Linked DNA regions of Arabidopsis thaliana. The protein of the gene in region 1 purifies or fractionates together with the protein of each later gene. This does not show direct contact. Each region holds a gene or a part of one and is shown in the gene's direction. Other genes may lie near its edges.

Region 1 (3,759 bases):
TAGCAATCTGTACAGCGATGGATCCTGTTTTACCAAACGACTCTTTCATAACTCCGGCGTAAGTAGTTGATTCTCCGGCGAGAGTTGATTTCATCAGAAATCCAACGGAAATTGTGGAAAGCCAAGCTATGATCGTGATAATCAAAAACGCTGGAACTATTCCAAGAACTTTAAACGCCGCCGGCATCGACATTATTCCGGCTCCGATTATACTCGTTGACACGTTGAAAACGATGCCGGAGGTTGATGATCCATGGTTCTCAGACGAAGAAGGTTCTTGCTTCGGCAAGAGATGAGTTTTGATCTGTGGTGTCATTTTTCTAACCGCCGGAGAAACGTAAGAATTTGCCGGCGGGAAGAAGCTTTCCTTTTTTGTAGTTGTTATGAGGAATCGGCTTCATATAGCCACACGGTTAATAGCGAAAAGTACATAAATACCCTTTGAAGATTGGGGATATATGCCTTGACCGTTTGGGGCAAAATCGAGAAAATGATATTTGACCATAGGTAAACCTGACAGGCTGGGCAAATCATGTCAGTGAGATCACCAAATGATCTTTCGTCACGTACTTAAAAACATCACGAAAATAATAATTTTGTTCAAGAGAGGAAATTACAGCTAAAATATGATGAACAATCATAATCATATTATAGACAGAAGTGAATTATTAACAAAAAAACCCCAAAGAATTATACAAAAAAATCCAAAATAAAATGGGTCCGTCCAACACTAATGAATGTGTGCACTTGGATTTCTTCACGAAGAATGTATCTAGACGAAAAAGTGGCCAAATGTGTATCATCGCTTCTCATCTCATATAAGTTGTCCAAAAAAGAAAAAAACTCCTAAATAATTTAAAATTTTCGTGGATATAATAAAATCCAATATATAATCATATCATTGGCGGCCTCAAAGATGGCTCACGTGTAATAAACTAACTTTAGAGCAGACGGTTCGAGACTTTTCATCAAGAAAACGAGAGGGCAGCGAATGCGGAATGTCGAATGAATAATTGAAAACGTGATAAACGAAACAATATAAGAATAATTAAACACTGTCTTCTAAAGTTATTTTTATTTAATCATTTCATATGAATCATATTGAAGTTACTCAGTTAACATTATAGAATGTGACTGATAGCAACATTAATATTGCCGCAGAAATCCCTCGTTGCAAAGTTACAGTTTATTTTAGATCATCTCTGTGTGTAAAGGAGAAGCTTCAGTCAACAACAACAGAGCTTGGGTCAAACTCTCTGCTCAGCTCAGAGTCTCCCAAACAGAATGCTATGGGCCAAGACACTAAGCCCAATACCATTCAACATGTCGAGAAGCCCAACAACAGAAGATTACCTCTGCAACTCACAAAAGACAAAAAAATTACCGATTACCCATGAAATGATTTGCTAAAAAATTGAACATTTCATAGATTTGTAACGGTTGTTATTTAGCCATTGTTGTTATTCATGTGTTTGATATTAAAACCGATATTGTTGTTACTCATGTGTTTGATATTAAAACATACTAGGTTTTTACCAGTTTGTGCATTTTGGAACATAGGTTTGTTTAGTGGAAACTGTCAGCAATATTTGTCGTGATTTGAGAACTATAATAATGGCTAATGAAGAATGTAGAAGGACGAGCAGATATAACAGGAAATCGTTTTACTTGATAATTCATGTAAGCTTTTCTTCAATCCCAACTGATAAACCTGATCCCATATTTTCTAAGCTTGGTTAAAGCGACCCAATAACAAAGTACGGAAAAACTTTTGATTGGGCTAACTTGGGCTTTTCAAAACAAAGCCCATATTTTAAATAGACAAATTTGGCCCACTTTAGTCGGTTGAAAAATCTTTTCCCCTATCGAAGCGTGTCTCTGATTTTTCGCTCTCGATCGATTCTCGTCTCTCTCTCTTTCATCGCAGCGAATAATCCAAATCGAAAGCAATTTCTCTCGACGAAGAAAAGAGAAGCAATCGGAGTCTGTGGAGGTAAAGAAGTACACGATCAAATTTCAAGTCAGAGTTTCGGGGAAAAAAAAGGAATGGGGGATCATCTGGTGAGAGCTGAGGAATTCGAGAAGAAAGCTGAGAAAAAGCTCAATGGATGGGGAATATTCGGATCTAAGTACGAGGATGCTGCTGATCTGCTCGAAAAAGCAGCTAATTCCTATAAGCTCGCCAAATCATGTAATTTCCATAAATAAAATTTCTTTGCTTTTGATTATTGTTTCATCGGATTGGTGTCGTGTTTTTTTTTATTGTTGTTCTTTGTGATGATGAGGAAGAAAAAAAAGGTGAAATTTGAAACGTTTGATCTTAGGTTTATCAGTTGCGGTGATTTGTCTATGGTCATGTGAGAAGTAGAATTAGTATCTGGGTTTATATTAGGTCTATTTTGATCTGTAAGAAATTTATGGTTGATAATTTCATACGAAAACATTTTAAATCGGAGATTCATCATTCTGATTCCTTGATATTGGTTTCTGGCCTTCTAGCAAGTCATTGATAAGTGGCACAATTATAGTACCTAATTTGGGTTCTATTTGGCTGAGTTTAATAGGTTTCATGTTCTTTTCTGATATTTGTTTAATTCTCCAACGCTATCTTCTTACTTATGTGTTGCATTTGTGATTGTTCAGGGGATCAAGCTGGAAAAGCTTATCTAAAACTTGCCGACTGTCACTTAAAGGTTAATTCTTTGGCAACACATATATATGATACTGGACTAATGTGTGGATTGTTTGATAACATTGATTTGCATGATTGCATCTGCAGTCAGATAGCAAACATGATGCTGCTAACGCCTATGCTGAGGCTGCTAAATGCTACAAGAAAGTTGACACTAATGGTATGTATAAAGCTACTTTTGTAATTGTCATCTCTGTAATGCAAGAGTGATTATGAATTCTTATGTGTTTTCATGCGTCCTAATATTATATGCAGAGGCTGCGTCTTGCCTAGAGCGAGCGGTGAATATATTTTGTGAGATAGGAAGGCTCAACATGGCTGCAAGATATTACAAGGTACCACTTGTCTCTTTTGAGCATGAATTAGATATTATTCTTTTAGTACGGATACTGAGAAGATAGTTTTATTGGGGCACTTCTTCTGTATTTCCTCCATGGTTCCTGTTTCTTTATGCATGTTCAGTCGGATTCAGATTGTCTTTTTCCTTTTCTAAACTAAAGTAAGCATGGTGCTGACTTGCTGTATTTGGACTAATTTGTACATTAATGGTTTTTTACTTTTGACAGGAAATTGCTGAGTATTATGAATCTGATCAGAAGTTCGAGCAGGCTATTGCTTACTTTGAAAAGGCAGCTGAATTCTTTCAGAATGAAGAAGTGACCACTTCTGCAAACCAGTGCAATCTAAAGGTTGCGCAATATGCCGCCCAGCTGGAGCAGTAAGATTTTCGGCACATTACCTTTCTTTTTGCTTTCTCATCCCTTAGCATTGAAGTGCTTATAGTACTCAGATGGAACCCTGTTAAAATCGAATTGTCAATCCACAAACTTGTCATTGTATGGAATTGTGATGTTCTCTATGCAGTATGCATGAGCACAGCAATTATAGCCTTTTCTCTACTTTGGGACCGATTGATTGATAATAGGCTTGTTGTTGTATCTTTGGTAGGTATGAGAAGGCAATCAAGATTTATGAAGACATAGCACGCCATTCACTCAACAATAACTTGCTCAAGTATGGAGTTAAGGGCCATCTTCTCACTGCTGGCATGTGCCACTTATGCAAAG
Region 2 (3,630 bases), on another chromosome or scaffold:
TTGTGGTGGTCGAAGAAGGCGGAAATGGATTGATCTGCGGCGCGTGAATCGTATTCTTCTTCTCCTCCTCCGCCACCGCCGCTTGAAGATTGCATGCTACTACTATTACCGGACTCCATCTCGTGACAAAGAAAAAAAGACTTTGACGAGAGAAAACGTAAGAAATTGATTTAGAGGTGAGAATGGATACTTGAGTTTAGGGAGCTATTGTTTGTTTAAGGAGTTTATGAGATAGGGTATCATGGTAAATAAGACATTTGGTGTGACATGATTTTTTAATAATTTTGTTTTGTTTTTGTGTGAAAGGGAGAAAAACAGGGAAGGTGAAATCGCATTAAGTGGTTCCACTACCACCATCCACTATTGTCTACTCTATATCCCAATATTATATACATGTATCTAAGGTTTAGTTTATATTAGATTTATTCCTTTTGGTGATAGTCAAAATTCACTTTGATTGTAGATATTTGGTTCGGCTAATGCTTTGTTTTGTTTCTCTACCACTGCAGGATGTTACGTTTACAAATCTTATGATGGTATTACTTTTACTTTTCCTGATAAATGGTACTTACTTTTCTTCGTGATTTGTGCGTATATTCATATCAAAATCAATTATGCGATAAAAATGTTAGAACAAGTTTTAATTTTCCGTGTGCACAAACAATCATTTAACTTCCTCTCGTTATTCTCTAAAGATATAGAATAATTTGAATAATCTACTAATCTCTTACATGATGACATAATTAGGTCAGTTAATTCGGACCAAATTCAATAATATATATCATAATTATTAGATGTCATCATATAGCTAGTTCCACCAAGATAAGTTTTTTAGCTGATTAATCTTTCTTTTCAATTGAATAATTTCGAAATCACCAATTTAAAAGATGCAACAAAGATATGTACATACTCATTTCTACTTATTTCACCCGATTAATTTGCAAGTGGAAATTAATGGTTTGAGTGTATATTTTGATAGAGATACTAGGTTTGGTCGGAAAATAAGAATCAATCATATAATATACTATTAATTATCAAGGAAAATTCAAAATTTATGGGCCCATTAACCAAAATGCCATAACCCTATTATCACTTTACCCATACGGCTTAGTTTTGTTTGGTTACCCACACTCATTTATAATTGTGTTTTTTTCGTTTTTTTTCTAAATATCAAAATTTCAGTTGACTTGTAAATTCGTATGAAATTGATTATCATTGCATTGCAAATAAGAAAAAGAAACATTTAGTAAAACCAACCACTACATTCGATTAACTATTATCACTATTAAATGTTTTGTTAGTGTTTGATAAAAAAAAAATTGCCGTGTTAGTAAAATTTTTTACGGGTGATCAATGATCATCATATAATTAACCAAAATAATGTAAGTCTACATAGTTTTAGTATTGAAGATCACAAGGATATCAAAAACTAAAGAATCATCACTCTCTATAATTTAGTAAGCTATGGGTTTGATCAAATTTCCAGCATGTAGTTTTTTTGCTACGTGTGCATTTTGTTATAACAAGATAAATATATAAATGGGCTTACGCTTCTTCTTTTTTGTGCAACAATGGGCTTACGCTTTATGCCCAATATTTACCTATACCAAGGCTCCATATAATTAGTATTTGTTATTTATAAGCCCACACACTTTTGAGAAGAAGATGTCTAAAAATGAAAATGCTGAGAAGAAGTAACAATTTGTTTTTACAAATATAAATTATACCTGGCCATAAAATAATAAAAATCTGACAGCAAATATATAAGCAAATAAAAATGGGAAGAATTACTTATTCTCAATATAAATTTGAATTATTCTTAATATAGACAAAACCATCAAAAATTTCGTAGTCATTAATAAGGAAAATTTCATACAATCCAGTGGACTATTTTTCTTGGTCCGTAAGCTGCCAGAGAGAGAGAGACTTAAAAGGATAATTTCGTAAATCTACCAACCCATCATATACCGACTCGCCGAGTAATCGCCAAGCCTCTCAAATTATCCATCTCAATTCTCACATCACAACAGATAAGAGTCAGCCACGTCAACATTACACGCTACTCCGAATAACACGTGATTATTACCCCAATTGTTAATTCCCAATAATAACCCTTCCCTCAAATAATATTCGCATCTATTAATACACCTCTGCAGAAAAAAAATCAGAGAAAAAATACAAATCGTTCACCGGAAAAAAACAAAATGGCTCGTCGCGATGTTCTCCTCCCTTTCCTCCTCCTTCTCGCCACCGTCTCCGCCGTAGCTTTCGCCGTAAACTTCCTCAATCTCTAACCACTCTCGATCAGATTTAGATTTTTCGATAATTTGACTTTTTCAGTTTCTGTTTGTTTATCTAGGAAGATGATCCAGACTGTGTATACACATTCTACCTCAGAACCGGATCGATCTGGAAAGCCGGAACCGATTCGATCATCAGCGCAAGAATCTACGATAAGGACGGTGACTACATCGGAATCAAAAACCTTCAAGCTTGGGCTGGATTAATGGGACCTGATTACAATTACTTCGAGAGGGGTAATCTCGACATTTTCAGTGGAAGAGCACCGTGTTTACCTAGTCCGATCTGTGCCTTAAACCTAACCTCCGATGGCTCCGGCGATCACCATGGTTGGTACGTTAATTACGTTGAGATCACGACGGCTGGTGTTCACGCACAGTGCTCGACGCAGGATTTTGAGATTGAGCAATGGCTCGCTACTGATACTTCTCCTTATGAGCTCACCGCCGTACGGAACAATTGTCCGGTCAAGCTTAGGGATAGTGTTAGTCGGGTCGGGTCTGAGATTCGGAAAAAGCTTTCTTGGGTCGTTTAAGTGATGTGTTGTGATTCGTGAGACTTGTCTGTATTGTTTGTATTCTCGTTGTTCTTGTGAGTGTAATGTGGCGTTAATGAAATATGATTCAATAAAATAAAACCTTTTTAGTTATTTTGCGAATTTTAACTCATGATTAGTGAATGATTTAGTAGATTAATCACAGGTTAGTTGAATCATTTGCTTTAGTAGATTAATCACAGGTTATGTAAATGTGAAACCAATCAATGAGAAGACTAGGACATGAAAATTGATTGAATGCATATAGGTGTCGGTATTAATAAGCGGAATAGAAATTTGAGTGGACCAAGTAATAATCCCTTGGGCCAAAAATGACGCCACGTCTGTATTCATTGAGAACTAACTCTTTGATATTTATATGATTTATTGTCCACATTGTATCTACTATACTTTTTGTAGGGTCAAAATCAAATCGTCTCTTGGTAGAGAAATATGGGAACACTCACTTCTTAAAGAATGTGATTTTTTTTTTTTTTTTGTTACGAATTCTATTAATAATATATGGTAGTATATTCTTGGACGTCAATTGGTTTTTGTAACAACATATGATAATTGTATACCTATGGTATGATTTTCTATTACTGTTTTGAAATTTTATTTAAGAAGTTAAATTCCATTTGGAATAACATATTGGGCTTACGACATGGCCGATAATCATATCTTCTCGCCGCCATTTTAAAAGCCCAATACGTTTTAAATGAAACTGAGTCCCACATCTGAAATTTAATAAACAGTTCTAACCCATAACAATTGATAAATTTAATAAATAATAG
Region 3 (3,636 bases), on another chromosome or scaffold:
TACATAGAAAGTATGAATTAATTAAGCACATTGTTAACTCTAACGACACAATCATGTTATATATAAAATATATATAGAGCGAGTGTCAGTTCTTGAACTCACTCTCACAATTCTCCGACACAATCTCAACCTTCTTCGCATCTAATAGTCCCTTAACCTTAACATCACAAGTCACCACCACTTCCTTGTTCCGTTTGACCGGCCCTGCTTCATACTCAGCCTTCAGCTCCATATTCAGCATCAGAACAACCGGTTGCTTCGATCCACGAGGTTGTACAACTGCGTTCTTGGTCGACCCATTAAGCTTCACATTGACCTTGTCGGATCCAGATGCGGCCTGGGACAACCCCGGAAATTTCCCGCTCCCCAGGCTCTTATTCTTGTACGTTAAGGAAACGACCCCGTTCTTTTCCATCATGTAGCGTACTCCCATGTTAGACGTTGGATTCTCGGCTCTTAATGTGACCTCAAAATTACTAGGATTTACGGTCAATCTCTCGACCGCGAAAACAGGAAGAGTGGGGTTGAAAGCGAAATGGAGGATGAGAATGATTGCACCGAGTAAGAATCCGAAAATGACCAAGATAATGAAGAACCACAAAAGACGTTTAGAACACCCTTTCTTTTTGTTTTTCTCCGGGTTCTTGCTGCGTTTCTCGACGTATTTTGCATGTTCCGGAGGAGGGGTCCAATAGACTTGATCTCTCGGGACTTGGACAACGTACGTCTCTAACTCAGGGATTGAATCCGGAGGAGGAAGAGGCGGAGAAGATGTCGTTGGGAGTGGAGACAGATTAAGAGAATGATTACGCCAATGGTGTGAACCGTGCGATGGAGGATCTAAAGATGGCAATGCGGGGAGGCTAGAGGTTGGACGGTGCCAAACGGACGGAGGATCATCGGGTTTGTCATCGTCAGAGTCAGGGGCGGTGGCGGAAGGAGGACGCCGTGGCCCCTCCATCGGAGAAAGGTGGGAGTTACGAGATGTGTGGTGGAGATTGGTCTACAGAGAAGACGAAAGAGAGAGAATTAAGAGAGGATGCGAAAATTAGGGTTTGCATGGGAAAAGTAAGTGGTTGTTGTTGCATGACTCAAACTTTTGGTTGGTTTTGAGAAGATTTTGCTATTTAGAGTTAGCCAGCTCACCTTAAATTTCCCTTTTTCTGTTATTTAGAAAACTATATTACAGAACTCATATAATATAGTATTATGGCATTTGATGATGATCAACGAAGTTGTTACTTTTTGTTTACAAGATATCGATTTTCTAACATAAATTATATATGCATATAAGACATACATGAGTAAAATCTTAAAAAGGTTAGCACATATTGGTAATGTTTATCATGAACGAGTCTTATTTTATTTTGTACGTTTCGAACTAAAACCATTTTTGGGTGGTATTTCTGGACCAAATTTTCATTAAAGTGTTTTTTATTTCAATTCTCTTGCAACTTCTGTTTCTTTAGAAAGCGAAAAATGCATATATACGAATATACGTTGGGATTGACATGAACGGAATGTATGTATTTACACACATTAATCCGCAGCAACCGGCCATTCAAAATTATGTTTGTGGGCCTTGTTGCTGCTTCGCTGACAATACTATCCAAAATTTATTTCATTTTTCTTTCTTTGAAAAACACACAATCACTTAATTTTCATTTATAAATCAAACATATGTACATGAAAATATCAAGGAAATTAAAGGAAATCTTACCTTCATATGGTCGAAAGTTTTCTTTCAAAAAGCAAAAACAAAAATTAATGTTTCTCTAATTCTTCCCCGGCCCCAATCCACGTGAAACATGTTATGTTGCGAGCATTACACTGGAAACTGTTACATTACATTCTAATTGGCGAAAAATGAAGTGCATTTGTATTGTATCTCACGAAGATTTGCGTTTGTGACAAAAAAAAATATGCAATTTTTTTCGAAATCTGACAACCCATGCCGACCTGTCCGCCGAGTTAACGACGTGCTTATAGGATCCTTAAGTATTTTTATTCTTATTTCTTACTCATTCCAACGGACCAAAAACGACCACGTCATCTTCATACGCAACTCCCAAAACAGACGATAATTAAATCATTGAAATCTAAACTCTCATATACTTTAGCATTTTCAACATTTCTATTAATATTTCCATAGACTAGATCTCTCTTTCTTATACATCCATATCACCGATGATGCCTCGCCGTGACGTCCTCTTCCTCTCACTCCTCCTCGTCATCGCCACCGTCTCCGCTGTCGCATTAGCCGTAAGTTTTCCAAATCTGACTTGCTTCCTCTCATATATGATTTTGTCTAGAACTAGACACACACATTAACCAGATTTGAATATGTATATAATGACACAACATCAATGACATTAGTTTAAACTATTAGACTACAAACTTCTGTTTCTTCCCATTTAAAAAAATGACTTTCTTGATTTCACAGGACGATGAAGCAGATTGTGTCTACACATTCTTCCTTAGAACCGGATCAACCTTCAAAGCCGGTACAGATTCGATCATAAGCGCTAGAGTCTACGACAAATACGGAGACTACATCGGGATCCGAAACCTAGAAGCATGGGGTGGTTTAATGGGACCAGGTTACAACTACTACGAGAGGGGTAATCTCGACATTTTCAGTGGGAAAGCACCATGTCTTCCGAGCCCAGTCTGTTCATTAAATCTGACCTCTGACGGCTCCGGTGACCACCACGGTTGGTATGTTAACTACGTGGAAGTCACGACAGCCGGAGTTCATGCAAAGTGCTCGTACCAAAGCTTTGATGTTGAGCAATGGCTTGCGTCCGATACATCGCCGTATGAGCTCAGTGCTGTTCGGAATAACTGTCCAGTTTCGCTTAGGGAAAGTGTCGGTCGGGTCGGGTCTGAGATCCGGAAGACTCTCTCTTGGATCGTGTGAGAGTAGTGAATGAAATGTCAAATGTGTATGTGTGTGTGTAACTTGGAGAGTTGTTCTTTGTTGTCTTGTGAACGTGTGATGGCAATAATGAAAATGATTCGATCGAATAAAAGTTCCGTTCTTTGTTGTTTGTGAGATTTTTATCAAACATTATTAAGTTTTTCGTGTGATGAAATTAAAAGATAATTACTGATCATATTAAAAAGAAAAAAAGATAATTACTGGTTGATATAGTTTCTTTGTTTCGTTTTATTTTCACAAATAAACGTTCAAAGCTACAACCTTATGATTAATCAAAACTTTGCCAAATAGTATAAAAGATGGGCCCTTTTCACATTTTTCGATGTAATTTTAAACATTTAATACAGAGTGGATCTTCACAATTTTAATCATTTTTGTGCATGTTCAAAAAGTCAACAAGAAACTTACAATTTTGTAAGAAACATCAACGACATTAATTGGTATTGGCCTAAACCTCCTAATTAAGTGACATTTGGTTGAAACGGAACATTTCTTTGGGTCATACTAATAACTGAAAACCATTATCAAATGAATGACTTTAAAATTCCTCCTAAGGCACCATATAAATCTCACTATGCTCCTAATCGTCTTTTAAATCTATAAAAGAAGGTGTGAGCAATAAGTTCCTCAATGAAAATTGAAAAAGATCATCCCTGCACACATAATCTATAGAACCACAAAGCAATATACAAGCT

What was found.
Region 2: the proteins of ALPHA-SNAP2 (region 1) and PLAT1 fractionate together in Arabidopsis thaliana (co-fractionation; one large-scale study listed by BioGRID). This does not show direct contact.
Region 3: the proteins of ALPHA-SNAP2 (region 1) and PLAT2 fractionate together in Arabidopsis thaliana (co-fractionation; one large-scale study listed by BioGRID). This does not show direct contact.

Annotation. Positions count from the first base shown.
Region 1 is NC_003074.8:20,846,644-20,850,402, reverse strand, and holds the start of ALPHA-SNAP2 (alpha-soluble NSF attachment protein 2), read left to right. Parts: upstream 1-1,707; 5' UTR 1,708-2,046; coding exon 2,047-2,191; intron 2,192-2,643; coding exon 2,644-2,693; intron 2,694-2,779; coding exon 2,780-2,852; intron 2,853-2,947; coding exon 2,948-3,027; intron 3,028-3,258; coding exon 3,259-3,410; intron 3,411-3,640; coding exon 3,641-3,759. Other genes in the region: AT3G56200 (Transmembrane amino acid transporter family protein), read right to left, coding at 1-316.
Region 2 is NC_003075.7:18,430,746-18,434,375, forward strand, and holds PLAT1 (Lipase/lipooxygenase, PLAT/LH2 family protein), read left to right. Parts: upstream 1-1,913; 5' UTR 1,914-2,204; coding exon 2,205-2,273; intron 2,274-2,359; coding exon 2,360-2,836; 3' UTR 2,837-3,008; downstream 3,009-3,630. Other genes in the region: AT4G39720 (VQ motif-containing protein), read right to left, coding at 1-119. UniProt on the Arabidopsis thaliana protein: Positive regulator of abiotic stress tolerance involved in the regulation of plant growth. May be a downstream target of the abscisic acid (ABA) signaling pathway.
Region 3 is NC_003071.7:9,426,294-9,429,929, reverse strand, and holds PLAT2 (Lipase/lipooxygenase, PLAT/LH2 family protein), read left to right. Parts: upstream 1-1,759; 5' UTR 1,760-2,187; coding exon 2,188-2,262; intron 2,263-2,443; coding exon 2,444-2,920; 3' UTR 2,921-3,134; downstream 3,135-3,636. Other genes in the region: AT2G22180 (hydroxyproline-rich glycoprotein family protein), read right to left, coding at 86-961. UniProt on the Arabidopsis thaliana protein: Involved in response to abiotic stress.